4 linked regions of the Stegostoma tigrinum genome follow. The protein of the gene in region 1 purifies or fractionates together with the protein of each later gene. This does not show direct contact. Links are inferred from orthologs where the notes say so. Each region holds a gene or a part of one and is shown on either strand. Other genes may lie near its edges. The genes, in order: bysl, tsr1, riok2 and pno1.

Region 1 (7,978 bases):
CAGTGCAAAACTGCATAATATCTCTTTCCTCCTGCATTTTGAACTATGATGGAAATCTTAATCAAAAATGACATCTATCATGTCTCAGTAGTAAAAACAAAAGTTCTATAACAATGATTATTCACTCATGCAGGTTTTTCTGTTCCCAAAGGCCACACCATCCCATTCTTGACCTGAAAAGTATACAGATTTTTAATAAAAATGCACATAATGTCCTTGTTTCACCCCAGAAACCACTCAAGATATATATTGTTCTATGGGGACAAACATTTATTCTTGTAGGAAGGAAGTGCAATTTAGCAGAAGTAGAAGGTTATTTCCCACTTTGGAATAATAATGAAGGAAATAAAATCATAACACATAATAAAATTTGGGGAATTACTTTAAATGAAATATACCCCTTAGGCTTTGTTCTACTGACAATAAACAGTGACTTACTTTCTAAAAGTACTTTTGCATATGGATGCACAAATCAGTGTAGTTTGGAACAAGTAAATGTTAGCACCAAATCAGCAATTAACAGAACTGAAGGAATCAGCCAAGATTCCATCTGCAAGTACTTTTTATTGTCAGAATAGACAAATAAACCAAGTTTGTATCTGATCCATACAAGGTAATCAGAATACATTGCAAGTGTTGAAATGTTATCATATCCGCCATATCCTAAATAGAAGAGCATCCACAATTTGCTGTATCTCAAAGTTCTGATATGTTGTCATCTTAACAAAATACTTACATGATATATGTTCATGTCTACAAGTGTTAACAGACATGCAAAATGGTGCTGCAGCAGAAGCATATTGACACAATGGGTTCCCAACAGCTTTAACATTTTGATGTTATCTCTCCACTTGCTGAACAAGGTAGCACGATACTGATTGAAGCGAAGAGGCAGCTGCCAAATTGATCCAAATTGGTTTATGACTATACAGCCTCTTTGGAAGGGCAATTCACCTCATCCCAATCTTCTGCTCATTTCCCACAGCCCTGCTATTTTTGCCTGTTCAAGTCATTATAGAACTATACAGTAATTACATTTCAAAGTTTTAAAAATACTTCCTTCAACCAATCAGGCAGCACATTTCAAAATCATAACAACTTGGGTCTTAAAATCAAATTCTCATCTCCCAGCTGGATATGAAAGAAGTGTGAGAGCTTGAAAAAATGATAGGAAGGGGAGCCTTTGGGAGAATCTGTCTTGTTTTGAATGAGACTGTGGAGATTTTTTTCATTTACTCATGGCATGTGAACATCCCTGGCTGGGCCAACACTTACTGCCCATCCCTGGTTGCTCTTATGAAGGTGGTCGTGAGCCAGCTTCTTGAACTCTGAAGTCCATTTGTCCATTTAGAAGAATCGAGTCTTTAAGTCTTTAAGCAATGGGCAAGGACTGGGATTGCTAATCATGGAGATAGTAGGAACCGCCGATGCTGTAGAATCTGAGATAACATGGTGTGAAGCTGGATGAACACAGCAGGCCAAGCAGCACCAGAGGAGCAGGAAAGCTTGACATTTTGGGTCGGGACCCTTCTTGCTAATTATGGAAACTGGTAAAGGAACCAAAGGTGAGTATAGGGGGCAACTTGTATTTATATAGAAACTTTAATGTCATAAAACATTATGGGTAGAATGAAACTGACTGTGGGAATGTTGGAATGTGGTGTGTCTTATTGAAAATGATACATGTCACATAGGTGCAAAATGCAGTGTATTGGCCACGTGGGTCAGGCAGAAGTGGTTGGTGCTTTTTGATCCAGTGTTTTTTTTCCTCCCTCCCCTCGGGATCTGGGAAAAGAGGGGTATGATTTAGTTTTTGTTTCAACGTTTCTGAGGAGGTGTTGATTCGGAAGGGTATTATAAAAACAAAGTATGATACTCAGCCACATGGTGCGATATTGGAGCCCAGACATTTTGTCAAAAAATAGGTTTTAAGAAGAATTTAAAATAAAAGGGAGATAGAGAAGCGGAAAAGTGTAGGGTGAGTATTTCTGAGCCTGGAGGCCTAGGGAAGATATGACCATATAGTGATTAAAATCAATGAAGTACAAGAAATTAGGATTAGAAGGGCTTGGGTCATTGAGTTGAAGACAGAATGTTACGATGCCAGTAAAACTGACTAAAACCTCGTACAATAGGCATCATTCGACCCATGGAGACCTTATACAGGGAAAAAGACCTTTTAGCCCGTCGTGTCCTGTGCTGGTCATCATGCATCTATCCAGTCCAGTCCCATTTTCCAGCACTCAGTTCATAGCCCATAGCCTAGTATGTAATGGTATTTCGAGGGGTCATTTAAATGCTTTTAAATATCTTAAGGGTTCCCATCTAAACCATACTTTTAAGCAATAATTTCCAGACACCGACCCAACTGGAAGAAATTCCCCTGTAAACTTCCTGCTTTTTACCTTAATGCTGTGTCCCTCCCGTCATCTACCCCGGCTATTAACCACACTATTAAGAGGAAAAGATGTTTCTACCTACTTTTTCTATGACCCCATAATTTTGTAGACCTCAATGAGCTCTTTGTGGTCTAAGGAAAACAATCCCAGTCTAACTGGGTGCATTCTGAGGGAGGGTCACTCGACCCTGAACATTAACTGTGATTTTGTGGCATGGTGGCTCAGTGGTTAGCACTGCAGCCTAACAGCACCAGGGACCTGGGTTTGAGTCCAGCCTCAGGCAACTGTCTGTGTGGAGTTTGCACATTCTCCATGTGTCTGTGTGGGTTTCCTCCCACAGTCCAGAGATGTGCAGGCTAGGTGGATTGGCCAGGCTAAATTGCCTGTAGTGTTAGGGGAGTGTGGATTATGGGGTAATATGTCTGGGTGGAATGTTTCAAGGGGTGGTGTGACTTGTTGGGCCAAAGGGCCTGTTTCCACACTGTAGGGAATCTAATCTAATTTCTCCCCACAGATGCTGCTAGACTTGCTGAGCTTTTCTAGCAATTTCTGTTTTTTTTGCCCCAGTCCAATATACAGGACAATAAAATGTGAGGCTGGATGAACACAGCAGGCCAAGCAGCATCTCAGGAGCACAAAAGCTGACGTTTCTGGCCAAGACCCTTCATCAGAGAGGGGGATGGGGTGAGGGTTCTGGAATAAATAGGAAGAGAGAGGGAGGCGGACCGAAGATGGAGAGAAAAGAAGATAGGTGGAGAGAGTATAGGTGGGGAGGTAGGAAGGGGATAGGTCAGTCCAGGGAAGACGGACAGGTCAAGGAGGTGGGATGAGGTTAGTAGGTAGGTGATGGAGGTGCGGCTTGGGGTGGGAGGAAGGGATGGGTGAGAGGAAAACAGATTAGGGAGGCAGAGACAGGTTGGACTGGTTTTGGGATGCAGTGGGTGGAGGGGAAGAGCTGGGCTGGTTGTGTGGTGCAGTGGGGGGACGGGACGAACTGGGCTGGTTTTGGGATGCGGTGGGGGAAGGGGAGATTTTGAAGCTGGTGGAGTCCACATTGATACCATTGGGCTGCAGGGTTCCCAGGCGGAATATGAGTTGCTGTTTCTGCAACCTTCGGGTGGCATCATTGTGGCAGTGCAGGAGGCCCATGAAGGACATGTCATCTAAAGAATGGGCGGGGGAGTGGAAATGGTTCGCGACTGGGAGGTGCAGTTGTTTATTGCGAACCGAGCAGAGGTGTTCTGCAAAGCGGTCCCCAAGCCTCCGCTTGGTTTCCCCAATGTAGAGGAAGCCACACCGGGTACAATGGATACAGTATGCCTAATTGGCAGATATGCAGGTGAACCTCTGCTTAATATGGAAAGTCATCTTGGGGCCTGGTATAGGGGTGAGGGAGGAGGTGTGGGGGCAAGTGTAGCATTTCCTGCGGTTGCAGGAGAAGGTGCCGGGTGTGGTGGGGTTGGAGGGCAGTGTGGAGCGAACAAGGGAGTCACGGAGAGAGTGGTCTCTCTGGAAAGCAGACAAGGGTGGAGATGGAAAAATGTCTTGGGTGGTGGGGTCGGATTGTAGATGGCGGAAGTGTCAGAGGATGATGCGTTGTATCCGGAGGTTGGTGGGGTGGTGTGTGAGAACGAGGGGGATCCTCTTTGGGCGGTTGTGGCGGGGGCTCGGTTCGCAATAAACAACTGCACCTCCCAGTCGCGAACCATTTCCACTCCCCCTCCCATTCTTTAGATGACATGTCCTTCATGGGCCTCCTGCACTGCCACAATGATGCCACCCAAAACTTGCAGGAACAGCAACTCATATTCCGCTTGGGAACCCTGAAGCCCAATGGTATCAATGTGGACTTCACCAGCTTCAAAATCTCCCCTTCCCCCACTGCATCCCAAAACCAGCCCAGTTCGTCCCCTGCGCCCACTGCAACACACAACCAGCCCAGCTCTTCCCTTCTACCTACTGCATCCCAAAACCAGTCCAACCTGTCTCTGCCTCCGTAACCTGTTCTTCCTCTCACCCATCCCTTCCTCCCAACCCAAGCCGCACCTCCATCTCCTACCTACTAACCTCATCCCACCTCCTTGACCTGTCCGTCTTCCCTGGACTGACCTATCCCCTCCCTACCTCCCCACCTATACTCTCTCCACCTATCTTCTTTTCTCTCCATCTTCGGTCCGCCTCCCCCTCTCTCCCTATTTATTCCAGAGCCCTCACCCCATCGCCCTCTCTGATGAAGGGTCTCGGCCCGATACGTCAGCTTTTGTGCTCCTGAGATGCTGCTTGGCCTGCTGTGTTCATCCAGCCTCACATTTTATTATCTTGGATTCTCCAGCATCTGCAGTTCCCCTTACCACTGATACAATTTACAGGACAGATTGGATGAGCTCTTTCAAAGGGCCAGCATCAGCAGGATAGGCTGGAAGGCCTGCTTCCGACTGAAAGGAAGCAATAAGTATGGAAAGAGACCAAGTGGGAGAAAGGCAGGAAGGAGCACTTGAGTAGAATGAAACTGGCGATGTAATTATGGAACGTGGTGCGTCTTATTGAAATTGATACACGTCGCGCAGGCGCAGGAGTCAGTGCACTGGCCACGTGGGTCGGGCAGACGTGATCAGTGCTTTTCGATCCGGTGTTTTCCTTCCGGCGTCTAGGAAAGGAGGGGTACGATTCCGTTTTTGTTTCAACGTGTCTGAGGAGGGGTTGGTGCTTTAGTTTGGACGGGGTGATGCCGAAAGCGAAGGCGGCTAAAGGCAGGCTAAAGGAGTCCAGGGGCCTGGCCTTGGCCGATCAGATCCTGCAGGAAGATGCTGTCAAACCGATCAGCCGCAACAAGAAGCGGGGCCGGGGCGACGAGGCTGACGATGAGTACGTGGACGAGAAACTGTCCCGCAAGATCCTGGAGCAGGCCAGGATTCAGCAGGAGGAGCTGGAGGCAGAGCATGGAATCAGCAAGAAGAAGAGACCCCAAGCCACGGTCCTGGGTAGGTTTGACTGCACCGTACGGCCAGAAAGCGCGGGAGCCGGGGGTCTCAAAGTGTAGTAACAGGTTTGGTATTAAATCCGCATCACCCAAGGTTGCCAAAGCAGTTTCGAAAAATAGTTAACCAGGCTAAACAAGTGTTGGAATATCGTATGATCTGGAATTCTGTCAAAATTTAAGGGAAAGTTGGATAACTGCAGGGGGAAGAAATAAATGCTGAGCAACTTAGATGAAAATCGTCTGAAGCATGAACGCCAGTAGTTAGTTGGCCGAATGGCCCGACTGAAGGTGCTTTTGATGTGTTCAGTTGAAATAATAACCCATTTCTTTACAGAATCTAACAATCCTGCTATTTACATTTCTTGCGTGGTGTGGTGATTCTAAGACCACAGTTGATGCATACAAACTATCTTTCTTTGTTGAGCGCAGAAGTGAACATTCAGGTCTGTACCACTTTCAATGAGAAATCAAGTTAGAGCCTGAATTGCATTTGCTGTTTTCTTGCTGGTGAAGGAAAAAAACAATTTGGTTCCTTTTTAATAGCTATAATTGAACCTGTATCCGTCACCCTAGCAGATTCTGCCTTACAGATAAGTCACCTCACTCTGTTGGTATTTGTCTTAGGACCCTTCACCCTTAAGTCATTGATAACTTTCTGTTTATGTGCAATATTGTCTTCAAACCCTTTTTTTAAAAAAAACCCTCTTGAAGGCCCTCTTTAGCTTCTTCTCCATGGACGACAACCCTGAAGAAGAGTTAATTTGGACCTTTTTAAAATTAATTTGTGGGATGTGGGCATTGCTGGCTGGCCAGCATTTCTTCTCTGTCCCTGGCTGCCCTTGAAAAGGTGGTAGTGAGTTGCCTTCTTGAACCGCTATAGTCCACCTCCTGTCAGAGGGAATTCCAGGATTTTGACCCAGCAACAGTGAAGGAAAAGTGTACATTTCCAAGTCAGGACAGTGAGTGGCTTGGAGGGGATTTGAAGGTGGTTGGGTGTTCCCATATCTCTGCTGTCCTTGTCCTTCTAGATGGAAGTAGTCATGAGTTTGGAAGGTGCTCTCTGAGGATGTTTGGTGAATTTCTGCAGTGCATCTTGTAGATGCTACACACTGTTACTACTGATGATTCCGTGAGTATGACTTTGTCAGGCTGTCTTCACTAGTCTGTGAGACAGCTCTCCCAATTTTGGCACTAGCCCCCAGTTGTCAGTAAGGAGGATTTTGCAGGGTCTACAGGGCTATTTCTGCCATGGTCTCTTCTGGTGCCTAAGCTGATGCCAGGTGATCCATCTGGTTTCATTTCTTTGAGATCTTGTAGCGATTGGTACAACTGAATGGCTGGCTTTCTAGGCCATTTCAGAGGGCAATTGAGAGTCAACCACACTGCTTTGGGTCTGGAGTCACATGTAGACCAGACCAGGTGAGGATGGTGGATTTCCTTCCCTGAAGGACATTAGTGAAACAGACGGGTTTTTCCGACAATCGATGACGATTTCATGGTCGTCAGGAGATTCTTAATTCTGGATCTTTTCATAAAAAGTTCTGCTATGGCAGGATTCAAACTTGGAATCCCAGAACGTCAGTGATCGCCTTCCCGATGACATTGATTGATTTTTTTCTCTCTCTGTAGACGTTGCCAGGCCTGATGAGTTTGTAAGTGAAGAGTTAGTTCTCCAAGTAGTTGTTATGTACCTATTTGTAAAAACTGGAAATTTCTTTGTATTGTTAATGACTAATACTTTAGGACATTAATGATGTATTGTTTTGCTATTGGATCCTTTGGACTTTTGGAGTTTAGGAACAGGAGTTGACTATTCAGCCTGTTGAGCCTGCTGTAGATTCAATATGATCACAGCTAATTGTCCAATTCCATGTCTTTTTCCCCCCCACACTATCTTCTTACTCCTTAATATCATGGGTCTTGAAAAATCTGTCAATCAAACAAATGCAGTGAATGAGCTTCCACAGCTCTCTGGAGTATACATTTTCAAAGATTCATGTTCCCCCAAAGTTTTTTTTAAAAAAAAACTTCTCATCTCAGTTCTGATAGGCTTCCCCATTATTTTCAAATTGTGACTCTTGTTTCTAGACTTTGCAACCAGAGGAAACCCCTTGTCTGCATCTTTCCCATCCTTCACTTCAACTATTTTGTAGATTCCAATGAGATGACCTCTCACTCTATAAAATGTCATCACAGTTTCCTCAGTCTCTCTCTTCAAGATTAGTTGAACATTTTGAGATCTGGTAGAATTTCAGAGCACCCCCTCTATAGTGGTATTACCCTTCTTAAGGTAAGGGCACCAAAACTAGACATGCTGTGCACTCTGGATGCAGTCAAACCAAGTTTCTGTATAATTGAAATGAGACTTCACGATTTCTGTACTCACATCCTCTTAACATGGAGAAAGGCTAACGTACCATTACCCTTCCTAATTGCCTGTTGCACAGGATTCTCTAGTACAATCAGAAAATGGTAAAAATGTGTAGCAGCTGAAATGGAAAGGAATTGAGGGGGAAAAAAAGTTAAGATTTGGATGGAGATTGTTAATCTGATCATTTTCTTTTTAGTTTGTGGTATCAGTAAGTTGTACACCTAACTT
Region 2 (7,455 bases), on another chromosome or scaffold:
CAAAGCTTCCACATCCTTCTTATAATGCAGTGACCAGAACGGTACACAATACTCCAAGTGCGGCCACACCAGAGTTTTGTACAGCTGCAGCATAACCTCTTGGTTCCGGAACTCGATCCCTCTATTAATAAAAGCTAAAACACTGTATGCCTTCTTAACAGTCCTGTCAACCTGGGTGTCAACTTTCAAGGATCTGTGTACATGGACACCGAGATCTCTCTGCTCATCTACACTACTAAGAATCTCACCATTAGCCCAGTACTTTGCCTTCCGGTTACTCCTACCAAAGTGCATCACCTCTGCATTAAACTCCATTTGCCACCTCTCAGCCGAGCTCTGCAGCTTATCTATGTCTCTCTGCAACCTACAGCATCTTTCATTACTATCCACGACTCCACCGACCTTAGTATCGTCTGCAAATTTACTAACCCATCCTTCTACGCCCTCATCCAGGTCATTTATAAAAATGAGAAACAGCAGTGGCCCCAACACTGACCCTTGCGGTACACCACTAGTAACTGGTCTGCAGGATGAACATTTCCCATCAACCACCACCCTCTGTCTTCTTTCAGCAAGCCAATTTCTGATCCAAGCTGCTATATCTCCCACAATTCCATTCCTCCGCATTTTGTACAAATGTTAGGAAGGCAAATACAATATAGCTAGAATACAAGAGCAGGGAAGTATTGCTGAGACTGTTAAGGGTCTGTTCAGATCACATTTGGAATATTGTGAGCAGTTTTGGGTGCTATTGAGATGTGGAGGAACTTTTTCAGCCAGAGGGTGGTGAATCTGTGGAAGTCGTCACCACGGAAGGCTGTGCAGACCAAGTCACTGAGTGTCTTTCAGACAGAGATAGATAGATTTTTGATTAGTATGGGATTAAGAGTTACAAGGAGCAAGCTGGAGAATGGCGTTAAGAATCGTAACAGCTGCCTCGCTCCCTTATTAACAGGGGTGTTACATTAGCAAACATGGGAAACATATTATCCATTACTCCCAACAGCATTCATTACAGTGCTCGAGCACCAGATAGAATACCATTGTTTTGACTGAGCTGTAGTTTAATTTCCAGGCTGTGAGAATCTCATAAGGTCTTCCTTGATTCGACACACAACTGAATTTAAACCTCAGAGATAATGGGAACTGCAGATGCTGGAGATTCCAAGATAATAAAATGTGAGGCTGGATGAACACAGCAGGCCAAGCAGCATCTCAGGAGCACAAAAGCTCCTGAGATGCTGCTTGGCCTGCTGAATTTAAATCTCCTTGGCTTCAAATAACACCTTCAAGTGTCTGAAAATTTTACCAAACTCCTTACACTGTGGGAACTTATTTTTAACAATTATGAACTATCATATACTTTCCTTATGAGTCATTGCTTTACACATTCAACTTTAGCAAAGGACCCTGCAGAACCACCGTAACTGAATCTAAAAAACCTCAAACTTCAATTTCCCCAAGCTGTGGATTTTCTCCTAAGTCCAAAAAAAACAGAATCTTCAAAGCATTCAATAATGTTCTGCATGGTAGACTGGTTAGTAAGGTTTCAGTATATGGGATCCAAGTGGAGCTAGCTATCTGGATACAAAATTGGCTTGAAGGTAAGAGATAAAGGGTGGTGGGGGAGGGTTGCTTTTCAGACTGCAGGCCTGTGACTAGTGGTGTGCCACAAGAAACAATGCTGGGTCCACTACTTTTCATCATTTATTGAAATGAATTGGGTGTGAATATAGGAAGGATTGTTAGACAGTTTACAGATGATACCAAAATTGGTCTGTAATGGACAGTGAAGAAGGTTATCTCAGAGTACAGTGGGACATTGATCAGATGGGCCAATGGGCTGAGGAGTAGCAGAAGGAGTTCAATTTAGATAAATGTGAGGTGTAGCATTTTGGAAAGGCAAATTAGGGCAGGGCTTATACAATAAATGGCAGCATGTTGGAGAGTGTTGTCGATCAAAGAGACCTACAGGTGCAGTTGCAGGTGCATTGTTCCTTAAAAGTGAGTTACAGGTAGACAGAGTAGTGAAGGTGGTGTTTGGCACACTTGCCTTCATTGGTCAGACTATTGAGCATGGGAGTTGGGATGTCATTGTGCGGGTTTGCGGCACATTGGCGAGGTCACCTTATCAATACTATATACAGTTCTGGTCTCCCTGCTATAGGAAGGATGTTGTTAAACTTGAGAGGGTGCAGAAAGGATTTACAAAGATCTTGCTGGGTTTGAACTATAGGGAAAGGCTAAATAGGCTGGGGCTATTTTTCCTGGAGCATCGCAGGCTGAGGGGTGACCTTATAGGGGTTTATAAAATCATGAGGGATGGGGAATAGCTAAGGTCTTTTTTCTAGGGGGGAGGATCTAGAAGTGGACAACAGATGTTTAAGTTGAGAGAGGAAAGATTTAAAAAGGACCTGAGGGATAACTTTTTCACGCAGAGGATGGAGGGAGCTGCCACAGGAAGTGGTGGAGGTGGGTACAGTTACAAACATTTAGTAGGCATCTGGATGGGTACGTCAGTGGGAAGGGTTTGGAAGGATAGGGGCTGCTTGGCTCTATTTTCTATCTGAAAGCTTAATATGCTTCAATGCTTACTTTGTTCATTTTAAGAGGAGGCAATAACCTTGTGGTATTATCAGGTGATGTTCTGAGTTCTCAGGAAAGGTCACTGGACCCGAAAGATTAACTCTGAATTTGTCTTCACATTTACTGCTGAGCTTTTCCAGCAATTTCTGTTTTTGTTTCTGATATTCTGCAGACCTTGGTTCAAATCCCGCCAGGACAGATGATGGAATTTAAATTCAATTTAAAAAATCTGGGACTAGGAGCCAAATGACTACCATGGAACCTTTGCCCATTGTTGGGAAAAGCCCACTGCCCTTCAATCACTAATGTCCTTTAGGGAAGCAAATCTGCCATCCACACCCAGTCTGACCCACATGCGAATCCGGACCCACTGCAAATGTGGTTGACTCTTAACTGCAAGTGGGGCTATTGGGGATGGTCCATAAATGCTGGCCCAGCCAGTGATGCCCCATGAACAAATAAAAAATATCCAAAGATCCAAACTCTAAATTAAATGATGTTAAGTCAGACTGCTGAATCTGTCATCGTCTGACAGTTGTGCAGCTCCAGCGTCCTCCCCTAAAGGACATCAATGAACCGGCTAAGATTTCACGACAATTTGACAGGTTCAGCATCGCTTTCACTGAGACAACTTTTATATTTTCTAGTTTTTAACTGTGTTCATATTTTCAGACTGTATTTCAAACAGCATCCTGTGGATTATTCACCTGCATCACTAACACCTATTCCTACACTCAGTCTCTCTCCTGCTAACCATTATCAGATACAAGCCATAAGACTCCCTCAAAACGTCAGCTTTCCTGCTCCTCTGGTGCTGCCTGGCTTGCTGTGTTCCTCCAGCTCTGCACCTTGTTATCTCTAATATCATAACAGTTTTAACAAATAACATGGTTGGCATGATCTGTTCAACTGAAGGGTCTGTGTCCATGCTGTATGACCCTCTCGTGTGGAATGTTAGTACATGGATCAGTGACAATGACAAGAGAGGCTGAATGGTCAAAGCTTTGTTTTAAATAATTGAATGAAGTTGTGTGAGTAATGGAGTTGAACTGTAAATCTATTTGACTTTATTCTCCAGTCTGTGCCAACAACTACTTCTTGTTCCTAGACGACACGGTGTGAAGCAGGCCAAGCAGCATCAGAGGAGCAGGAAGGCTGATGTTTCGCGCCTAGACCCTTCATCAGAAAAGCTCCAATTACTCCTTTCTCCTCTCTGCCAGGAGATCTGCTGTCATGGTATGTCCCGCTCAACTGTCTGTGCCATCCTCTCTCTTATCCACTGGGGATCATCTGTAACCGCCTTGTGATGCCCGTTATCCAAATACATCAAGACCGATCCCTGCTGCCTTGCGCCCACTGGAAGAGATCACTGCAGCTCTGATCAGATGTCCTGGATGTCACATTTTCCTCTTCATTACGGTCTGCACATGGAATGTACGGCCATCACGCACATTTCAGCAGTGATTTCCACACAGAGCACTGTTCAATCTGGAAAGGATTGCAGTCTGACTCTTCTGAGTTATACCAACAACAGCTTATACTTTTCCTCACAGCACAAAACTGCAAATACTGGAATGGCCCGCCTCAGAACTGTTGGCAGGCGTGGTATTTCCAGAATTATCTGAGTGTATGTTTCAATTTGAAGATCATAGATATTTCAGACTAATAGGCCCAAGAACAGTGAAGGTGGATTTGCAGAGATTTGAACCCTCCCTGAAGATGTCTCCTCTGTGTTTCTGGTCATGAACCACAAGATTGATTTACCGCCAGGCCCCGGCCCCGCCTCCCTCCCAGGAGCACTCCTCCAGTATCCCAGCATGCCGCAGGGGCCGGATGGCTTCAGGTCTCCTCCTGCTGCCGTGGTGAGCTCTTTGTGAAGATGGCGGGTGATGGGTCCCTGAGGCAGGAGGTGCACCGGCCCGGGGCCTTCAAACAGAGCAACAAGGAGCACAAAACCGGGAGGCACCGCAGCAAAGGCGGCCTGGAGCGGGAGCGGAGAGGTGGGGGGCGGGGGGCTGACACACGCACACACAGAAGGGACACGTGGCTGCGGGGGGGGGGGGGCGGGAAGGGTGTAAGAGGATGAGGGGCGGGGGGGGGTGAGAGGGGGGCGAGGGGGGCGGGGGGGGGTGAGAGGGGGGCGGGGGGGGGCGAGAGGGGGGCGGGAGGGGGGCGGGGGGGGCGAGGGGGGGCGGGGGGGGCGAGAGGGGGGCGAGAGGGGGGCGGGGGGGGCGAGGGGGGGGCGGGGCGGGGGGGGGGTGAGAGGGGGGCGGGGCGGGGGGGGTGAGAGGGGGGCGGGGCGGGGGGGGGGTGAGGGGGGCGGGGCGGGGGGGGGTGAGAGGGGGGCGGGGGGGGGGTGAGGGGGGCGGGGCGGGGGGGGGGTGAGAGGGGCGGGGCGGGGGGGCGGGGGGGGGTGAGGGGCGGGGGGGGTGAGAGGGGGGCGGGGGGGGTGAGGGGGGCGGGGCGGGGGGGGTGAGGGGGGGGCGGGGCGGGCGGAGGCGGGGGGGGCGGTGAGGCGGCGGGGGCTGTGGGGGGAGGGGGCGGGGCGGGGGGTGTGGGGGGAGGGGGCGGGGATGTGGGGGGCAGGGGGGTGTGGGGGGCAGGTGTGGGGCTGGGGGCAGGAGGGTGGGGGCGGGGGGGTGTGGGGCTGGGGGCGGGGATGTGGGGGGCAGGGGGGTGTGGGGCTGGGGTCAGGGGGGCGGGGGTGTGGGGGGTGTGGGGCTGGGGTCAGGGGGGCGGGGGTGTGGGGGGCAGGGGGGTGTGGGGCGGGGGGCAGGAGGGTGGGGGGGCGGGGGGGTGTGGGGCTGGGGGCAGGAGGGTGGGGGGCGGGGGGGTGTGGGGCTGGGGGGCGGGGGGGTGTGGGGCTGGGGGCAGGAGGGTGGGGGGCTGGGGGCGGGGATGTGGGGGGCAGGGGGGTGTGGGGCTGGGGGCGGGGGGGTGGGGGGCTGGGGGCAGGGGGGTGGGGGGCGGGGGGGTGTGGGGCTGGGGGGCGGGGGGGTGTGGGGCTGGGGGCGGGGATGTGGGGGGCTGGGGGCAGGGGGGAGTGTGGGGCGGGGGGGTGTGGGGCTGGGGGCAGGGGGGAGTGTGGGGGGCAGGGGGGAGTGTGGGGGGCAGGGGGGTGTGGGGCTGGGGGCAGGGGGGAGTGTGGGGGGCGGGGGGGTGTGAGGGGCGGGGGGGTGTGGGGGCTGTGGGGAAGGGGGCGGGGGGTGGGAGGGTGAGGGGTTGGGGGGGCAAGGGTGCAGGTGGAGGGGCAAGGGCGCAGGTGAGAGGCGGTGTGCAGGAGGGGTGGAGGATGGATGGCGGGGAGGAGGAGGGGAGGGCGGTTGGGTGGTTTTTGTCGGGGAGTTGGTTGGGTTGGCTGTGACTCTGCCTGATCACTGTGTCCCCATGTTGGCTCCAGGCAGAGTGAGTGTGAAAGTGAGCAGCAAGAAGCTGAGAAAGGTGCTGAGGAAACATGATCGGCGACACCAGGCATTGCAGATCCGCCAGCAGAAGAGGGAGGCGGTGAGTGTGCCCCCATTTCTCCCCCCCCCCCATCTGCTGTACTTTACCCTCGCGCCACCCCCCCCCACTCTCATCACCCATCCTGTTGGCCTCATCCACACCCTGTCCCCATTTCCACCCCCAAAATTTATCTCTGGAGTTAAATGAAATAAAACAAAGAGCTGTGGGTGTTGGAAATCTGTAACTAAAACTGAAAGTGCTGGCGAAACTCAGCAGCCCTGTCCGGCAGCGTCTGTGGAGCGGTCAGGATTTGGTGCTTGGATGCGCCCCTCCCTGTTGCCAGATTCAGTCACGCACACAGCTGCAGGTTGGAAAGTGGATGTATTTTATGAACTACAAAGACACAAACTTTCTGACCCATGTTCTGCTCTAGGTACTCAGTGAGAAGAGGAGCCTGGGCACTCAAGATGGTCCCCCCCATCTGGTGGGTGTCATCGTATTACACTCTGGTACAAGTGGCCAGAATGTCATGAGGCTAATTCGGACTGACGAGACCTCGAGTGTGTACGACCTCGATGGAAGTGGTGAACGATTTGGCTTGGTTTGCCCCAGGTTCAAACAGAGATTCAGCTTCATCCGAGTGAATTCAGGTCAGTGGCAGAGAGCTCTTGAGAAGTCTCAGCAGATTCATGCGATCAGCTTTCATTCATGTAGCTGTGATGTAGTTAAGAGTGTGGATAACCAAACACTACATACATTGGAGATAATGGGAACTGCAGACGCTGGAGAATCCAAGATAACAAAATGTGAGGCTGGATGAACACAGCAGGCCAAGCAGCATCTCAGGAGCACAAAAGCTGATGTTTCGGGCCTAGACCCTTCATCAGAGAAGGGGATGGGGTGAGGGTTCTGGAATAAATAGGGAGAGAGGGGGAAGTGGACCGAAGATGAAGAGAGGAGAGTATAGGTGGGGAGGTAGGGAGGGGATAGGTCAGTCTAGGGAAGACGGACAGGTCAAGGAGGTGGGATGAGGTTAGTAGGTAGGAGTTGGGGCTGTGGCTTGGGGTGGGAGGAAGGGATGGGTGAGAGGAAGAACAGGTTAGGGAGGCGGAGACAGGTTGGACTGGTTTTGGGATGCAGTGGGTGGAGTGGAGGAGCTGGGCTGGTTGTGTGGTGCAGTGGAACTCCCTAATTATGTCATGCAGTCTCAAATGGATACTTCAGATGAGTTGTTGTTTACATCTACAGCCGAAAGAAACCAACAGAGGAACTGTGGATGCTGGAAATCAGAAACAAAAGCAGAAGTTACTGGAGAAATTCTGCTGGTCCAGCAGCATCTGTGGAGAGAAAGCCGAGCTAATGTTTTGAGCTCAGTGACCCTTCTTTATAACAGGTTTATGTATGTCATGTTGAGGATGCCTCACA
Region 3 (7,984 bases), on another chromosome or scaffold:
CTCAAGCAGAGTGGACAGAGGGAAACCAGTAGGTATGTTGCATTTTGACTTCCAGAAGGCTTTCAACAAGGTACCTCACAATAGGTTCAGTCGCAAGATAGGAGCCCATAGTGTTGGAAGCAGTATATTGCTGTGGATAGAGAACTGGCTAATGGACAGGAAACAATGAACGGGGATAGGGGGTTCTTTTGCAGTTGGCAACCTTTAATCAGTGGGGCTCCAGACGGATCAATGCTGGGACTGCAACAGTTTACAACATGTATTAATCACTTGGAGGAAGGGAGCTAATGCGCTATAGCCAAATTCACAAATGAAACAAAAATAGATGGAAAGGCAAGTTGCAAAGTAGATACAAACAGTTTGCAGAGAGATATTGATAGGTTATGTAAGTCGACAAAATGTTGACAAATGGAGTATAATGTGAGAAAATGTGAGAATTTGGAAGGGAAAACAAAATAACAGTATTATATAAACGAAGAAAAACTGCAGAAAGCTGCAACACAAAGGGACGTGAGGAGTACTTGTGCATGAAACACAGAAAGCTAGCGCACAGGAAAGTTAATGAAATGTTAGCCCTAATTTCGAAGAGGTTGGAAAGTATAAGTAGGAAAGTCTTACTGCAACTATAGAAAGTGTTTGTGTAGACCATATCAGGAATACTGTGAACAGATTTGGATCCTTTATTTAAGGAAACATCTCATTTCATTGCAGAAGGTTCACTGGGATGATCCCTAGTATGGAGGGATTATTTTATGAACAAGGGCTAAACAAGTTGACACTCTATTCATTGTTGGTTAGGAGAATGAGAGGTGATCTCATTGAAACACACAGGATTCTTAAGGGGCTTGACAACGTAAATACTGAGAGGATCTTTGCCCTTGTGGGAGAATCTAGGGCCAGAGGCTTAATCTCAGAATAAAGGAGTACCAATTTAAAACTGAAATAAGGAAGATTTTTTTTCCTCAGAGGGTTGGGAGCCTTTGAAACTCCTTGTTACACAGAGCTGTGGGGTCAGAGTCCTCGTGTATATTTGAGGTTGGGTCAGATAGATTCTCAATCAGTAGGGAACCAAGAGCTTTGGGGAAACATGGATATGAGGAATGTTGGATCCGCCATGATTCTACTGAATGATGCAGCAGATACAAGGGGTTGAATGAGCTACACCTGTTCCTAATTCTTAGAGCCTAACCAACGTTTTCAGAGATGCACAGCTTTGGAACAAGTGGGAATTGATTCAAGGCCTCCTGACTCACATGTAGGGACAATACCACCACTTTCTTGATTTCTTGATTGATTTGGGATTGAACTCAACACACATGCTTTTGACTATTCTGTTTAATATTTATGGATAACAAAAAGCAATCAATTTTAGATTGAAAATTTACTATTCATCCAGATGAGTGTTATTGGAGCAGCTAAGATTTAATGAATGGCAGAGGAGGCTTCAGGGGCCAAATGGCCTATATGTGTTCTGTTTTGTATGGTCTATGGGTTTATTAAATGTGAACGCCTTAACTTTTGATACAGGATTATTTCTTTAAAGGGGCAGGACTACTTTTGTTTGTTGTTGAATATACCAAAACAATTCACTTTCACCTCATTATTTAAACAGACATCCACGGACAGATATTGACGTTTTTTCTGAATTCTGTTACCGAGGTGCCAATCTTCATCCTCACTCCACTGCTTCTCTCCACAGATGCTGCCAGTATCTATCCTTAATAAGGGGATCCCAATGTGGTCTTAGCAAGGCCCCAGGCACACCTTCCAGGTGAAGCAGCAATCCATCTGTACTTAACTCAATCTAGTCTACACTATTCACTGCTCACAACATGGTCTCCTCTATATAGAGGTGAGGCCCTTCTTCAGAAATGGGGGAGGGGAAGGGGCTCTGAAGTAAATAGAGAGCAGGAGGCGATGATAGAAGGTGGCTAGAGGAGCAGATAGGTGAAGAGAAGATGGACAGGTCAAGAAGGCAGGGATGAAGCCAGTAAAGGTGAGTGTAGATAGGGATAATGGGAACTGCAGATGCTGAAGGATCCAAGATAACAAAGTGTGGAGCTGGATGAACACAGCAGGCCAAACAGCATCTCAGGAGCACAAAAGTTGACGTGTCGGGCCTAGACCCTTCGTCAGAGAGGGGGATGGGGAGAGGAAACTGGAATAAATAGGGAGAGAGGGGGAGGTGGACCGAAGATGGAGAGAAAACAAGATAGGAAGGGAGGAGAGTATAGGTGGGGAGGTAGGGAGGGGATAGATCAATCCAGGGAAGATGGGCAGGTCAAGGAGGCGGGAAGAGGTGGTAGGTAGGAAATGGAGGTACGGCTTGAGGTGGGAGGAAGGGATGGGTGAGAGGAAGAACAGGTCAGGGAAGCAGAGACAGGCTGGGCTGATTTTGGGATGCAGTCGGGGGAGGGGACGAGCTGAGCTTGTTTTGTGATGTAGTAGGGCAAGGGGAGATTTAGAAGCTTGTGAAGTCCACATTGATACCATTGGGCTGCAGGGTTCCCAAGCGGAATATGAGTTGCTGTTCCTGCAACCTTCGGGTGGCATCATTGTGGCACTGCAGGAGGCCCATGATGGACATGTCGTCTGAGTAATGGGAGGGGGAATTAAAATGGTTCGCGACTGGGAGGTGCAGTTGTTTGTTGCGAACCGAGCAGAGGTGTTCTGCAAAGTGGTCCCCAAGCCTCCGCTTGGTTTCCCCAATGTAGAGGAAGCCACACCGGCTGCAATGGATACAATATACCACAATGGCAGATGTGCAGGTGAACATCTGCTTGATATCGAAGGTCATCTTGGGGCCTGGGATGGGGGTGAGGGAGGAGGTGTGGGGGCAAGCGTAGCACTTCCTCGGTTGCAGGGGAAAGTGCCGGGCGTGGTGGGGTTGGAGGGGAGTGTGGAGCGGACAAGGGAGTCGCGGAGAGAGTGGTCTCTCCGGAAGAGAGACAAGGGTGGGGATGGAAAAATGGCTGGGGTGGTGGGGTCGGATTGTAGATGGCGGAAGTGTCGGAGGATGACACATTGTATCCGGACGTTGGTGGGGTGGTATGTGAGAACGAGGGGGATCCTCTGGGGGCAGTTGTGGTGGGGGCAGGGTGTGAGGGATGTGTTGTGGGAAATGTGGGAGACGCGGTCATGGGCGTTCTCGACCACTGCAGGGGGAAAGTTGCAGTCCTGGAAGAACGAGGACATCTGGGATGTGCGGGAGTGGAATGCCTCAACCTGGCAGCAGATGTGGCAGAGGCGGAGGAATTGGGAATAGGGGATGGAATGTTTGCAGAAGGGTGGGTGGGAGGAGGTGTATTCTAGGTAGCTGTGGGACTCAGTGTGCTTGAAATGGACATCAGTTTCTAGCTGGTTACCTGAGATGGAGACTGAGAGGTCCAGGAAGGTGAGGGATGTGTTGGAGATGGCCCAGGTGAACTTGAGGTTGGGGTGGAAGGTGTTGGTAAAGTGGATGAACTGTTCGAGCTCCTCTGGGGAGCAAAAGGCAGCGCCGATACAGTCGTCAATGCAACGGAGGAAGAGGTGGGGTTTGGGGCCTGTGTAGATGCGGAAGAGGGACTGTTCCACGTAACCTACAAAGAGGCAGGCATAGCTTGGGCCCATGCGGGTACCCATGGCCACCCCCTTTGACTGTAGGAAGTGGGAGGAATCGAAAGAGAAGTTGTTGAGGGTGAGGACGAGTTCAGCTAGGCGGATGAGGGTATCGCTGGAGGGGGAAGGTCGGGCCTGCGGGACAGGAAGAAGCGGAGGGCCTTGAGGCCAACTGCATGAGGAATACAGGTGTATAGGGACTGGACGTCCATGGTGAAAATGAGGTATTGGGGGCCAGGGCATTGGAAGTCGTGGAGGAGGTGGAGGGAGTGGGTGGTGTCACGGACGTAGGTAGGGAGTTCCTGGACCAAAGGGGAGAAAATGGAGTCCAGATAGGTGGAGATGAGTTTGGTGGGGCAGGAACAGGCTGAGACAATGGGTCAACCAGGGCAAGCAGGTTTGTGGATTTTGGGAAGGAGATAGAAATGGGCTTGGTGGGGGTTGCGGGGTTGGGGAACGATGAGGTTGGAGGATGTGGGTGGGAGGTCCCCTGAGGTGATGAGGTCATGGATGGTGTTGGAGATGATGATGGTTTGGTGCTCGGGGGTGGGGTCATGATCAAGGGAGTTGGGATGGGGGTTCGTCAGTGCGGTGGGAGGAGCAGATAGGTGGGAGAAAAGCTAGACAGCTCAAGGGTTTCACAGGTGTTTCTGCCACCCGTCTGGGCACTCCTGGGCTTGAGGTTCCCACCAATCTGTGACGAATTTTCGGGGCGGCTTTGAACCATTCCCTCTGCAAGCCATTAGCACCCTCAAAGAAAGTAATACCCCTGTCCACTGACTAGCGGGAATTGCAAGCCCAACACAGCCCAAACTGGAGGAGAAGCATCCCCATGAAAATGCCAACCGTTTCGATCGTCTGCGGCAGGTGTTGAGGAAGGCCAAGCGGAATGCAGCGTGCGAAAGCCCGAGCATCCCACCCACTGGCTCCAGCAAATACCGCCTTGCCCCACCTGTGGCAGGACTGAGTGGTTCCAGCACTGAACTTTCACAACAGCCGAGTGAAGGAAAGTCATCTTCACTGCCCAGGGACTGCCTAATAAAAACGGACACCAGTGGACACGTACGCACCGGGATCTTGGGCGGCAGCTCTCGGCCCCGACTGTTCCTGAGAGATGACATGATTCCGAGCTATAACCAGAATAACTCCAATGATCAGCGTTCCGAATCCGCGAACCCAACCGTCTCCAGGCCCTGGCAGCACAAAACACAAATCTAACACTGCGATACGCATCCATAGGACCAGTACTCCAATGTTAATCTCGTTGTTTCAAATCATAATATTAAATTCATATATTATGGAGGTCTTCAGAGACTGTGTTTGTTATTTCGAACTGAATAGTGAATTTTACTAAGTATCTTTGAGGACCTGGTAGAGAGTGCGCATGCACAGCCGGGTGAGATCCAGCTGTTGGGAAGGCCCTGTGTTTTCTGTCTGTCCGTACTCTGTTATAAAGGGATTGAGGTTGCAATTTTCTCTTCCTTTCTGTCTTCCACCTCACGCCGGTCTCAGCGATGGGGAAGCTGAACGTAGTGTTGCTGAGGTACCTACAGAAAGATGATTTCAGAGTGCTGGTTGGGGTAAGTTGCCGGTCCGGGCCTGTCGGAACTCGGTTTGTGCTCGATTAAAGTTCACATGTAATTCAGAGGGGCTGCGTGATTTACCATAAGGAGGTATCTCTATATCAGATCCTTCTGTTTTATAAACTGGCTGCGATGTGCTCCCTCATCAGCATAATTTCGACTTTAAAAAATGGAGTTTAATGGAATTGCTGAATAATAAATCGCTTGCCCTATCTGTTAGTTCAATGTCCGCTGCTTTTCTCGGAGCGGAGGAAGCGAACACGTTCTTGATACGTTTTATGCCACAGGCAGTCATTTAAGATATAACACAGTGGCTTTTTTCTGGCGAATATTTTCACATTAATCATTTTTAGTACTTAATGTCTCAGTAAATATCGAACTCTCAGAAAACGTTGGAAATATTCCAAATATATGGAAAAAGAAAAAGTGACGTTAACAACTTTTGTCGGATCTGGAAACAGTTAAGAGCTGAAACATTTTCAGCAAGTTGTTGTTGAAGCAGAGGAAGGAAAGAAGAGGGAAGAGCAGAAAGCAGTTGATACTTGACTATGGTAATAATTAGCTCACCGAACAAAAGCAGCTTATCAATAGATTTAATTGCATTAAGGTTGGATCTGACAGAAGAGAGTTACAAATTAAAGGGCATGAAAGTGGTTGTGAGGAATGTCAGATCTGTCATGATCCTGTTGCATGGAGAAGGCTTGAGAGGCCCCAGCAGCCTACTCTTGTTCCTATTTCTTTTGGCCTAAATTTAGAAAAGATTACAATCCTTGACATCTGTTGGAAAGGTTTTTATTTTCGTGAAAGCATTACTTGAGATGAAGAATGAAATTCAACTATGGATCAGGATAGCTTTTTGATGGTGGGTGAAGAGAGAGGTTGAGGGTAAGTGTGACAGTGCATTACATAGAATGCACTGAGAGTGGTGCTTCAAAGAACAAAAATATGTTGGAGATATCTGTAATCATTATTGGATCCGAAACATGGCAGAAGAAATTTCAAATGAAATTCATGGGGAGTATGTCAGAAGTAGAGAGTTGCTGACAGAAACAATAACAGTAGAGAAGGTAAAAAAGACAAATACAAATCTCATCAAGTTCCTGGAAGAGAACTGGGACTCAAGTAAGCATAATTACAAAAGCCAAATACAGCAGATGCTGAAAAACTAAAATTTTAAAATACTCAACAGGCCCCAATTGAGCCAGTTTCCTGCTTTGCCAAGTGATCACTTTTTTTGTAAATTTTATAAGATTATTGAATTATGATGGTAGCTTTTTTAGCCCACTCATGAGTAATTTTTCAGTATGACTTCAATGAAGTATAATGGGGCATGAACTTTCAAACTCTGTCCACTTAAGCTATGGAAAACCAGCTGGTCTTTCGTATAAGGTTTCTCCTTTCAAATCTGTACTGAAGATTTAAGGCAATAATAAAGAGACATAATGATAGTGTCACTAGATTAGTAATCCAGAGGCCCTAGTTAATAATATGGAACATAGGTTCACGTTCTACCATGGCACTTGGCGATATTTAAAATCAGGTAATAAATCTGGAATTAGGGCCTTTGTGGTGCAGTAGTAGTGTCCTTACCTCTGGGCTAGAATGTTCAGGTTCAAGTTCTTCCTGCTCCACGCATATATCTTAACAGATTGATTAATAGCTAATTGTCATGATTTAAACTGAAAAATGAATATATCGCAAATTTATACCTATTCCCAGGGATGGTGATGGTGAGTCTATTGCTGAGAGTTGTAAAGATACAGCTGGTTCACTGACATCCTTTAGAAAAGGAAGTCTGTTGTCCTTGCCAGATCTAGCCTCTGTGTGACTCCAGACCCGCAGCAATGTGATTGACTCATAGCTGCCCCATTAAGTGTGTGTAGCAAGCTACTCGGGATCAAGGGCAATGAGGGATGGGCCACAAATATTGCTGCCTGCTAAGTTCATATTCCATGAAAAGAATAAATAAAAATAGGTTGGCAAGAAGTCATTTTAATTCATGGGATGTGTTTATTGCCTATTCCTATTCACCCTTGAAGTTGGTGGTGAGCTGCCTGCTTGAACTGCTGCAATCCATGTGCTATAGACGGAACCCCAATACCATTAGACAGGGAGTTTTGATTTTGGCCTTGGGAACAAATTACCAAAGAAATACCCTGTCAACCTTTAAAAGTGGCTAGGATGAATTCTTAATAACATTTCAAGTTACAAAATATAGCTTGTAGGTTCCTGTGAATAGTAATAATTGAGGGTCTCAACAACTCCTCTGATTAGGATTGAGAGAGATTTCCTAGAGATTTTCCTGTGATGTTTACTTTGCCTGTCTTCTTGTGGGAGATAGGTAGTAGTAAGCTAGTCACGTAATTACCTTGATTTTTTTTACATTTTCTTTCAGTTGGCAGCATGGTAGCTCAGCAGTTAATACTGCTGCCTCACAGCTCCAAGGACCCTGGTTCAATTCCACCCTCAGGAAACTGTCTGTGTGGAGTTTGCACATTCTCCCCGTATCTGTGTGGGTGTCCTTTGGTTTCCTCCCACAGTCCAAACATGTGCAGGCTAGGTGGATTGGCCACGCTAAATTGCCCGTAATGTTCGGGGATGTACAGATTAGGCGTGTTATTGGGGGATGGGTCTGGGTGGGATGCCCTGACGGTTGGTGTAGTCTTGTTGGGCCAAAGGGCATATTTCCACGCTATAGGGATTATATAATGATTCTATAATGAAATCCTGTCTTATTTTTATCTATTCCAAATCTTCTAAATTGATAGTTTCATCTTTATTTTGCTCTTATTACTGTACAG
Region 4 (7,444 bases), on another chromosome or scaffold:
GGATGAACACAACAGGCCAAGCAGCATCTCAGGAGCACAAAAGCTGACGTTTCGGGCCTAGACCCTTCATCAGAGAGGGGGATGGGGGGAGGGAACTGGAATAAATAGGGAGAGAGGGGGAGGCGGACCGAAGATGGAGAGAAAAGAAGATAGGTGGAGAGGAGAGTATAGGTGGGGAGGTAGGGAGGGGATAGGTCAGTCCAGGGAAGACGGACAGGTCAAGGAGGTGGGATGAGGTTAGTAGGTAGCTGGGGGTGCGGCTTGGGGTGGGAGGAAGGGATGGGGGAGAGGAAGAATCGGTTAGGGAGGCAGAGACAGGTTGGACTGGTTTTGGGATGCAGTGGGTGGGGGGGGAAGAGCTGGGCTGGTTGTGTGGTGCAGTGGGGGGAGGGGACGAGCTGGGCTGGTTTTGGGATGCAGTGGGGGAAGGGGAGTTTTTGAAACTGGTGAAGTCCACATTGATACCATTGGGCTGCAGGGTTCCCAAGCGGAATATGAGTTGCCGTTCTTGCAACCTTCGGGTGGCATCATTGTGGCACTGCAGGAGGCCCATGATGACGTCATCTGAGGAATGGGAGGGGGAGTTAAAATGGTTCGCGATTGGGAGGTGCAGTTGTTTATTGCGAACCGAGCGGAGGTGTTCTTCAAAGTGGTCCCCAAGCCTCCACTTGGTTTCCCCAATGTAGAGGAAGTCACACTGGGTACAGTGGATACAGTATACCACATTGGCAGATGTGCAGGTGAACCTCTGCTTAATATGGAAGGTCATCTTGGAGCTTAGGATGGGGGTGAGTGAGGAGGTATGAGGGCAGGTGTAGCACTTCCTGCGGTTGCAGGGAAAAGTGTCAAGTGTGGTGTGGGTGGAGGGGAGCATGGAGCGGACAAGGGAGTCACGGAGAGAGTGGTCCCTCTGGAAGGCAGACAAGGGTGGGGATAGAAAAATGTCTGGTGGTGGGGTCGGATTGCCTCCACCTATCTGGACTCCATTTTCTCCCCTTTGGTCCAGGAACTCCCTACTTACATTGTGACACCACCCACGCCCTCCACTTCGTCCAGGACTTCCAATTCCCTGGCGGCCAACACCTCATTTTGACCGTGGATGTCCAGTCCTTATACACCTGTATTCCTCATGCAGATGGCCTCAAGGCCCTCCGCTTCTTCCTGTCCTGCAGGCCCGACCAATCCCCCTCCAATGACACCCTCATCTGCCGAGCCGAACTTGTCCTCACCCTCAACAACTTCTTTCGATTCCTCCTACTTCCTACAGACAAAGGGGGTGGCCATGGTTACCCGCATGGGCCCAAGCTATGCCTGCCTCTTTGTAGGTTACGTGGAACAGTCCCTCTTCTGCACCTACACTGGCCCCAAACCCCACTTCTTCCTCCGTTACATCGATGACTGTATCGACGCTACCCCTTGCTCCCCAGAGGAGTTCGAACAGGTCATCCACTTCACCAACACCTTCCACCCCAACCTCAAGTTCACCTGGACCATCTCCAACACATCTCTCACCTTCCTGGACCTCTCAGTCTCCATCTCAGACAAACCAGCTAGAAACTGATGTCCATGTCAAGCCCACGGACTCCCACAGCTACCTAGAATACACCTCCTCCCACCCATCCTCCTGCAAAAATTCCATCCCCTATTCCCAATTCCTCCGCCTCCGTCGCGTCTGCTCCCAGGATGAGGCATTCCACTACCGCACATCCCAAATGTCCATGTTTTCCCCTGCTGCAGTGGTCGAGAACGTCCTTGACCACGTCTCCCGCATTTCCTGCTACACATCCCTCGCACCCCGCCCCGCCACAACCGCTCAAAGAGGATCCCCCTCGTTCTCACATACCACCCCACCAACCTCCGGATACAACACATCATCCTCCGACACTTCCGCCATCTACAATCCGACCCCACCACCCAAGCTATTTTTCCATCCCCACCCTTTTCTGCCTTCCAGAGAGACCACTCTCTCCGTGACACCCTTGTCTGCTCCACACTCCCCTCCAACCCCACCACACCCGGCACCTTCCCCTGCAACCGCAGGAAGTGCTACACTTCCCCCCACACCTCCTCCTGGATGTGAGTTTGCTCGCTGAGCTGGAAGGTTAATTTTCAGATGTTTCAAGTTCAAGATAGAAGAGGATAAAATAATGGTCTCCTTTGACGTAACAGCCCTGTTCACATCCATCAACATCAACCTGGCCAAAGAAACACTGACTATGCTATTAGAAGAACTGAAGACACATACACCAGACACCACCAACCTCATCAGCAAGGACAACATCATCAAGCTAGTGGACCTATGCCTTGCCACCCACTTCACTTTCAATAACAAAACCTACAGACAAACCAACGGTACACCCATGGGATCTCCGATATCAGGGTTCTTAGCAGAGGCAGTAATGCAGAGACTCGAACAAACAGCTCTGCCAATCATCCAACCCAAACTTTGGGTCCGCTACGTGGCTGACACCTTTGTCATCACTAAACAAAACAAATTAGAGGAAACCTTCGAGACCATCAATAATACCCTTACTGGCATAACATTCACAAAAGAGGAAGAAAACAACAACAAACTGCCATTCCTAGATGTCACAGTAGAGCGAACAGCCAATGGGGAACTTCAAACCAGCGTCTACAGGAAAACAACACATACGGACCAAATACTGAACTACAGGAGCAACCATCCCAACACCCACAAACGAAGATGCATTAGAACATTATTCCAATGAGCCACCACACACTGCAGCACAGAGGAACTACGCAGAGCAGAGGAAAACCACCTATACAGCGTATTCAAAAAGAATGGGTACCCAATGAACACAGTCCACCGATTTCTCAGCAATAAACCCAAACAAACAGACAAAACGGGCCCAGAAACCATAACCACTCTCCCCTACATCAAAGACATTTCCGAAATGACTGCCAGACTACTCGGACCCCTTGGCATCAGGGTAGCCCACAAACCCACCAACACACTAAAACAGCAGCTAATGAACTTTAAAGACCCTATACAGACAACAAGCAAAACGAACATCATCTACAAAATACCTTGCAAGAACTGTGACAAACACTACATTGGACAAACTGGCAGAAAGCTAGCCACCAGGATACATGAACATCAACTAGCCACAAAACGACATGACCCACTATCACTCGTATCCTTACATACAGATGAGGAAGGACACCACTTTGATTGGGACAACACATCCATCCTAGGACAAGCCAAACAGAGACACGCACGAGAATTCCTAGAAGCATGGCATTCCAACCGGAACTCCATCAACAAACACATTGATTTGGAGCCAATCTACCATCCACTGAGAAAAAGAACAGGAAATGACATCACCAACACAGGAAATGACATCACCAACCCAAGGAACTCTAAACAGATAAATAGAAAGTGGGACATAACACCAGCGCTTCATCAGAGGCTCACTGATGATGTTACCTAGAATGGTGACGAAATGTCTGAAAACTAACCTTCCAGCTCAGCGAGCAAACTCACATTTAGAACATCAACCTGAGCTACAAATCTTCTCAAAACTCGCTAACACCTCCTCCCTCACCCCTATCCCAGGCCTCAGAGAAGGTTTACTAAGATGATCCCCAATATGGATGGATTGTCTAATGAACAAATGCTGTGCAAATGCTAAACAGCTTGGGTCTCTACTCGTGCCATTTAGAAGCATGGGAGTTGGTCTCTTGAAACATATGCGATTCTTAAGGAGCTTGACAGGATAAATGCTGGGAGGATTTTCCCCTCACTGGAGAGTCGAGGACAAGAGGGCATCCCACCCCTTTCCTCATCACCCCAACTCACTAATCTGCACCCCCGCATGCCTCATCTTACCTACTCTTACCCTGTCTCATGTGCCCCACCTTCCTCATCTGCCCACCCTCCCAATTCCACCATCTGTCCCAGTCCCCTTCTCAGTCCTACCCCACCACTCCCCCTCAAGCGTCCTACCTCCCACACCTCTTATCCATCCTACCACCTCATCCACCCCAACTCTGTCATCCACAGCATAGGAAGGTGCCAGTTTGAGACAAATGAGGAAAAATTTCTTCTCCCAGAGGGCTGAGAATCTTTGGAAAACATTGCCACAGAGACCTGCGGGGACAGAGTCCTTGTGTATAATTAAGTCTAAGATAAAAGATTCTTGATCGGTCAGGGAATCAAGGAGTATGGGGAAAGGTTAGGACAGTGGACGTGAAGAATATTGGATCAGTTATGATCCCAGTGAATGGTGGAACAGGTTAGAAGAACCGAATGGTCAACTCTTACTCCTATTTCTTATGGCCTTTTCGAGCCTTAAGGGTGCACGTGGTGCAGAAGAGCCCTGCCCAGCGAGCACATGCCATGGGGTCCTGACTGTGCAGTGACGTCACTGTGAATACGGTCTATCCCCGGCAATGGAACGCGGGGGGGAATCAGGCGAGTAGAGTGGACAGCCCTCGGCTGGGGTCCTTTCGGAGCAGCTGTCATGGCGGCGGAGGTGATGGCAGGACCGGAGCTGGGCTCAGATGCAGAGCGAGATCTCGAGTTCATCAGCGCCGCAAAGAAGCGGGGGAAGCGTAAGAGGAAGATGGAGACGGGAGCGGCCGGCATGGAGGCGGAGGACCCGCCAGCGAACAAAAGGCCTGAGTTCCCCGCTATCTCCGGACACCAGCTGGTGGGTGAAGAGGACGGTGGGAATACGGTTCATTAGTCACACACCCGCCGCCCATTCGCACACTCCCCCCCCCCCCCCCCCCCACCATTTGCACTCTTCCCCCACCCCCCCACCATTTGCACTCTTCCCACCCCCCCACCATTTGCACTCTTCCCCCCCCCCACCATTTGCACTCCCCCCCCCCACCATTTGCACTCCCCCCCCCCCCCACCACCATTTGCACTCCCCCCCCCACCACCATTTGCACTCCCCCCCCCCCCACCATTTGCACTCTTCCCCCCCCCCCCATTCGCACTCTTCCCCCCCCCCCCCCCCATTCGCACTCAGAATATGCTCATTCTGTTCTTCCTCCCTCCCTCTCTTCCCCATCCTGCCCCATTTTAAAGTTAGAGACTATTTTCTAACTTGGGAAAGGCTTCAGAGATCTGAAACACAGGGGTCTTGGGTGATCTAATTCAGGATTCTCTTAAGGTCCTTGTGGCAGTTAGGAAGGTAAATGCAATGTGATCATTCATTTCAAGATGACTAGAATACAGCAGAAATATACAACCTCTTCCTTGTATCTAAGGAAGTGCTGGCATTCTGCAGAGTTTAGAGGAGGCTTACAAGAATGATTCTGGGGATGAAGAACTTGTCATTTGAGAAGCAGTTGAGCACTCTGGATCTGTACTCCGAGTTTACAGAATATTGAGAGATCTACATAGAGTGGATGTAGAAAAAATGCTTTCAATCCTGAGAGAGACTGGGACCTCAAGGGACATTCTTTTGAACTGAAATGAGGTGGAATTTCTTCAACCAGAGGGTGGTGAATCTGTGGAGCTCATTGTCACAGAGGGCTATGGAGATCAAGTCATTGAGTTTATTTAAGACGCTGTGAGATAGGCTTTTGATTAAGTAAGGGATTAAGGTTTATTGGGAGATGTTGAGGGAATAGCATTGAGAAACACGTCAGCCATGATCGAATGGCCTAATTCTGTTCCTATAATCTTTCTGAAGAAGTGTCTGGACTCAAAGTCAGTCTTCCTGCTGCTCTGATGCTGCTTGGCCCGCTGTGTTCATCCAGCTCTGCACCTTTGTTATCTCATTCTCCAGCATCAGCATTTCCTACTATCCCTATAATCTTATTGTCTGTCTTCTGATTCATTTTAGAGATCACATGTGGTTCTTTTAAAGTTTGCATTAATCCTGAGAGATATCATTTTTCTTCTAGGATGGCAAAGATGAAATTCGCAAAGTAGCTGTACCTGCACACAGATATACACCTTTGAAAGAGAACTGGTTGAAAATCTTTACCCCAATTGTTGAACACCTGCAGCTACAAGTGAGGTTTAACCTGAAAACTAGAAATGTTGAAATCAAGGTAACTATGCTCAGAATTATAGTTACAAAAGGAAATAATGTGTTGGTGATACAAATAGCAATACCAGGTACTGATTCAGTTTAACAAGGTCTACTAGTGGATGAACACAGCAGGCCACGCAGCATCAGAGGAGCAGGAAAGTTGACGTTTCGGGTCTGGATCCTTCTTCAGAAATGCCCATTTCCGAAGAGGGATCCAGACCCGAAACGTCATCTTTCCTGCTCCCCTGATGCTGCGTGGCCTGCTGTGTTCATCCAGCTCTACACCTTGTTATCTCAGATTCTCCAGCATTAGCAGGAAATGACATCACCAACCCAAGGAAACCTAAACATATAAATAGAAGGCGGGACACAACACCAGCGCTTCGTCGGAGGCTCACTGATGATGTTACCTCGAATGGTGACGAAACGTCCAAAAACTAATCTTCCAGCTCAGCGAACAAACTCAATCCAGAACCTCAACCTGAGCTACAAATCTTCTCAAAACTCGCTAGTTCCTACTGTCACTGATTCAGTTTAGGTGTTTTGTTCAGGGCAGGGGATAGAATGGATCCACTTCCTCTCCATAGGCCAGGTTATGCGTACATAGTATGTTTAGAACAATGGCAAATTATGCACAGGAGAATCGTAAAAGTGATTGCACTGAGACAAACCATTTGCTCATCATGATAGTTCCAGCACATGTAAGAGCAGAACACCTCTTTCTCCTGGTTTCTCTCTCCAATAACCCTCCATATGTCTCTTCAAGTAATTATTCTATGCTGTTTTGAAGGTCACATTTGAATCAACTTCTGTTACACCAGCGCAATGTATTCCAGATCCTAACCACTCACCTTACTTTCTAGACCAGAATGCAAATCTTAACATTAAAGGATTTCTAAAGTAAATTCTTTAGAATGCCTTCCAATTCTTTGCAGTTTAACAGACTCATTTTTAGGGCCAGAGCGCCTAATTCTAGTGATATGGAAGAATTTCTTCTGAGATGTGAGTCTTTGTAATTCCTTGTCACAAAGAGCTGTGAGGGCAGAGTTCTTGTATATCTTTAAGGCTGGGAGAGATTCTTGATCAGTAGGGGAATTAAAAGTTATGGGGAAAATACAGTTACATGGACATGAAGAATGTCAAACCAGCCATAATCCAATTGAATAGTGGAGCAGGCTCGAAGCACCACATGGCCCACTCTGGAGCCCCTTGTGGAGTAAAGGGAAATTATATGAAATCTGTTTTGAACTGAGCAGAGACCTAGTCTGTTCCATCATGTGGTTTAATGAATATGGGACTCAACTCGTGGGCTAGTTCCAGGTGGTAGTGTGTTATACTTTCAAGTCTGATTTGATTTTTTTCTAAAACTAATGGTACGTATTAACTTTTAAACAGACAATGTTTAAGACTAAACTTGTAGCCACTCCTAA

What was found.
Region 2: the proteins of bysl (region 1) and tsr1 purify together in Homo sapiens (affinity purification with mass spectrometry; 3 studies listed by BioGRID and IntAct, counting the BioPlex papers as one, with this or other methods). This does not show direct contact. The link is inferred for Stegostoma tigrinum from reciprocal best matches to the Homo sapiens genes BYSL and TSR1.
Region 3: the proteins of bysl (region 1) and riok2 purify together in Homo sapiens (affinity purification with mass spectrometry; 3 studies listed by BioGRID and IntAct, with this or other methods). This does not show direct contact. The link is inferred for Stegostoma tigrinum from reciprocal best matches to the Homo sapiens genes BYSL and RIOK2.
Region 4: the proteins of bysl (region 1) and pno1 fractionate together in Homo sapiens (co-fractionation; 4 studies listed by BioGRID and IntAct, with this or other methods). This does not show direct contact. The link is inferred for Stegostoma tigrinum from reciprocal best matches to the Homo sapiens genes BYSL and PNO1.

Annotation. Positions count from the first base shown.
Region 1 is NC_081374.1:14,519,459-14,527,436, forward strand, and holds the start of bysl (bystin), read left to right. Parts: upstream 1-4,964; 5' UTR 4,965-5,124; coding exon 5,125-5,380; intron 5,381-7,978. UniProt on the Homo sapiens protein: Required for processing of 20S pre-rRNA precursor and biogenesis of 40S ribosomal subunits. May be required for trophinin-dependent regulation of cell adhesion during implantation of human embryos.
Region 2 is NC_081380.1:47,861,520-47,868,974, forward strand, and holds the start of tsr1 (pre-rRNA-processing protein TSR1 homolog), read left to right. Parts: upstream 1-4,454; 5' UTR 4,455-4,465; coding exon 4,466-4,586; intron 4,587-5,986; coding exon 5,987-6,090; intron 6,091-6,463; coding exon 6,464-6,680; intron 6,681-7,455. UniProt on the Homo sapiens protein: Required during maturation of the 40S ribosomal subunit in the nucleolus.
Region 3 is NC_081356.1:87,167,965-87,175,948, forward strand, and holds the start of riok2 (serine/threonine-protein kinase RIO2), read left to right. Parts: upstream 1-4,977; 5' UTR 4,978-5,114; coding exon 5,115-5,180; intron 5,181-7,984. Other genes in the region: uncharacterized protein LOC125451045, read right to left, coding at 4,671-4,721. UniProt on the Homo sapiens protein: Serine/threonine-protein kinase involved in the final steps of cytoplasmic maturation of the 40S ribosomal subunit. Involved in export of the 40S pre-ribosome particles (pre-40S) from the nucleus to the cytoplasm.
Region 4 is NC_081362.1:4,265,912-4,273,355, forward strand, and holds the start of pno1 (RNA-binding protein PNO1), read left to right. Parts: upstream 1-4,443; 5' UTR 4,444-4,484; coding exon 4,485-4,673; intron 4,674-5,883; coding exon 5,884-6,033; intron 6,034-7,444. UniProt on the Homo sapiens protein: Part of the small subunit (SSU) processome, first precursor of the small eukaryotic ribosomal subunit.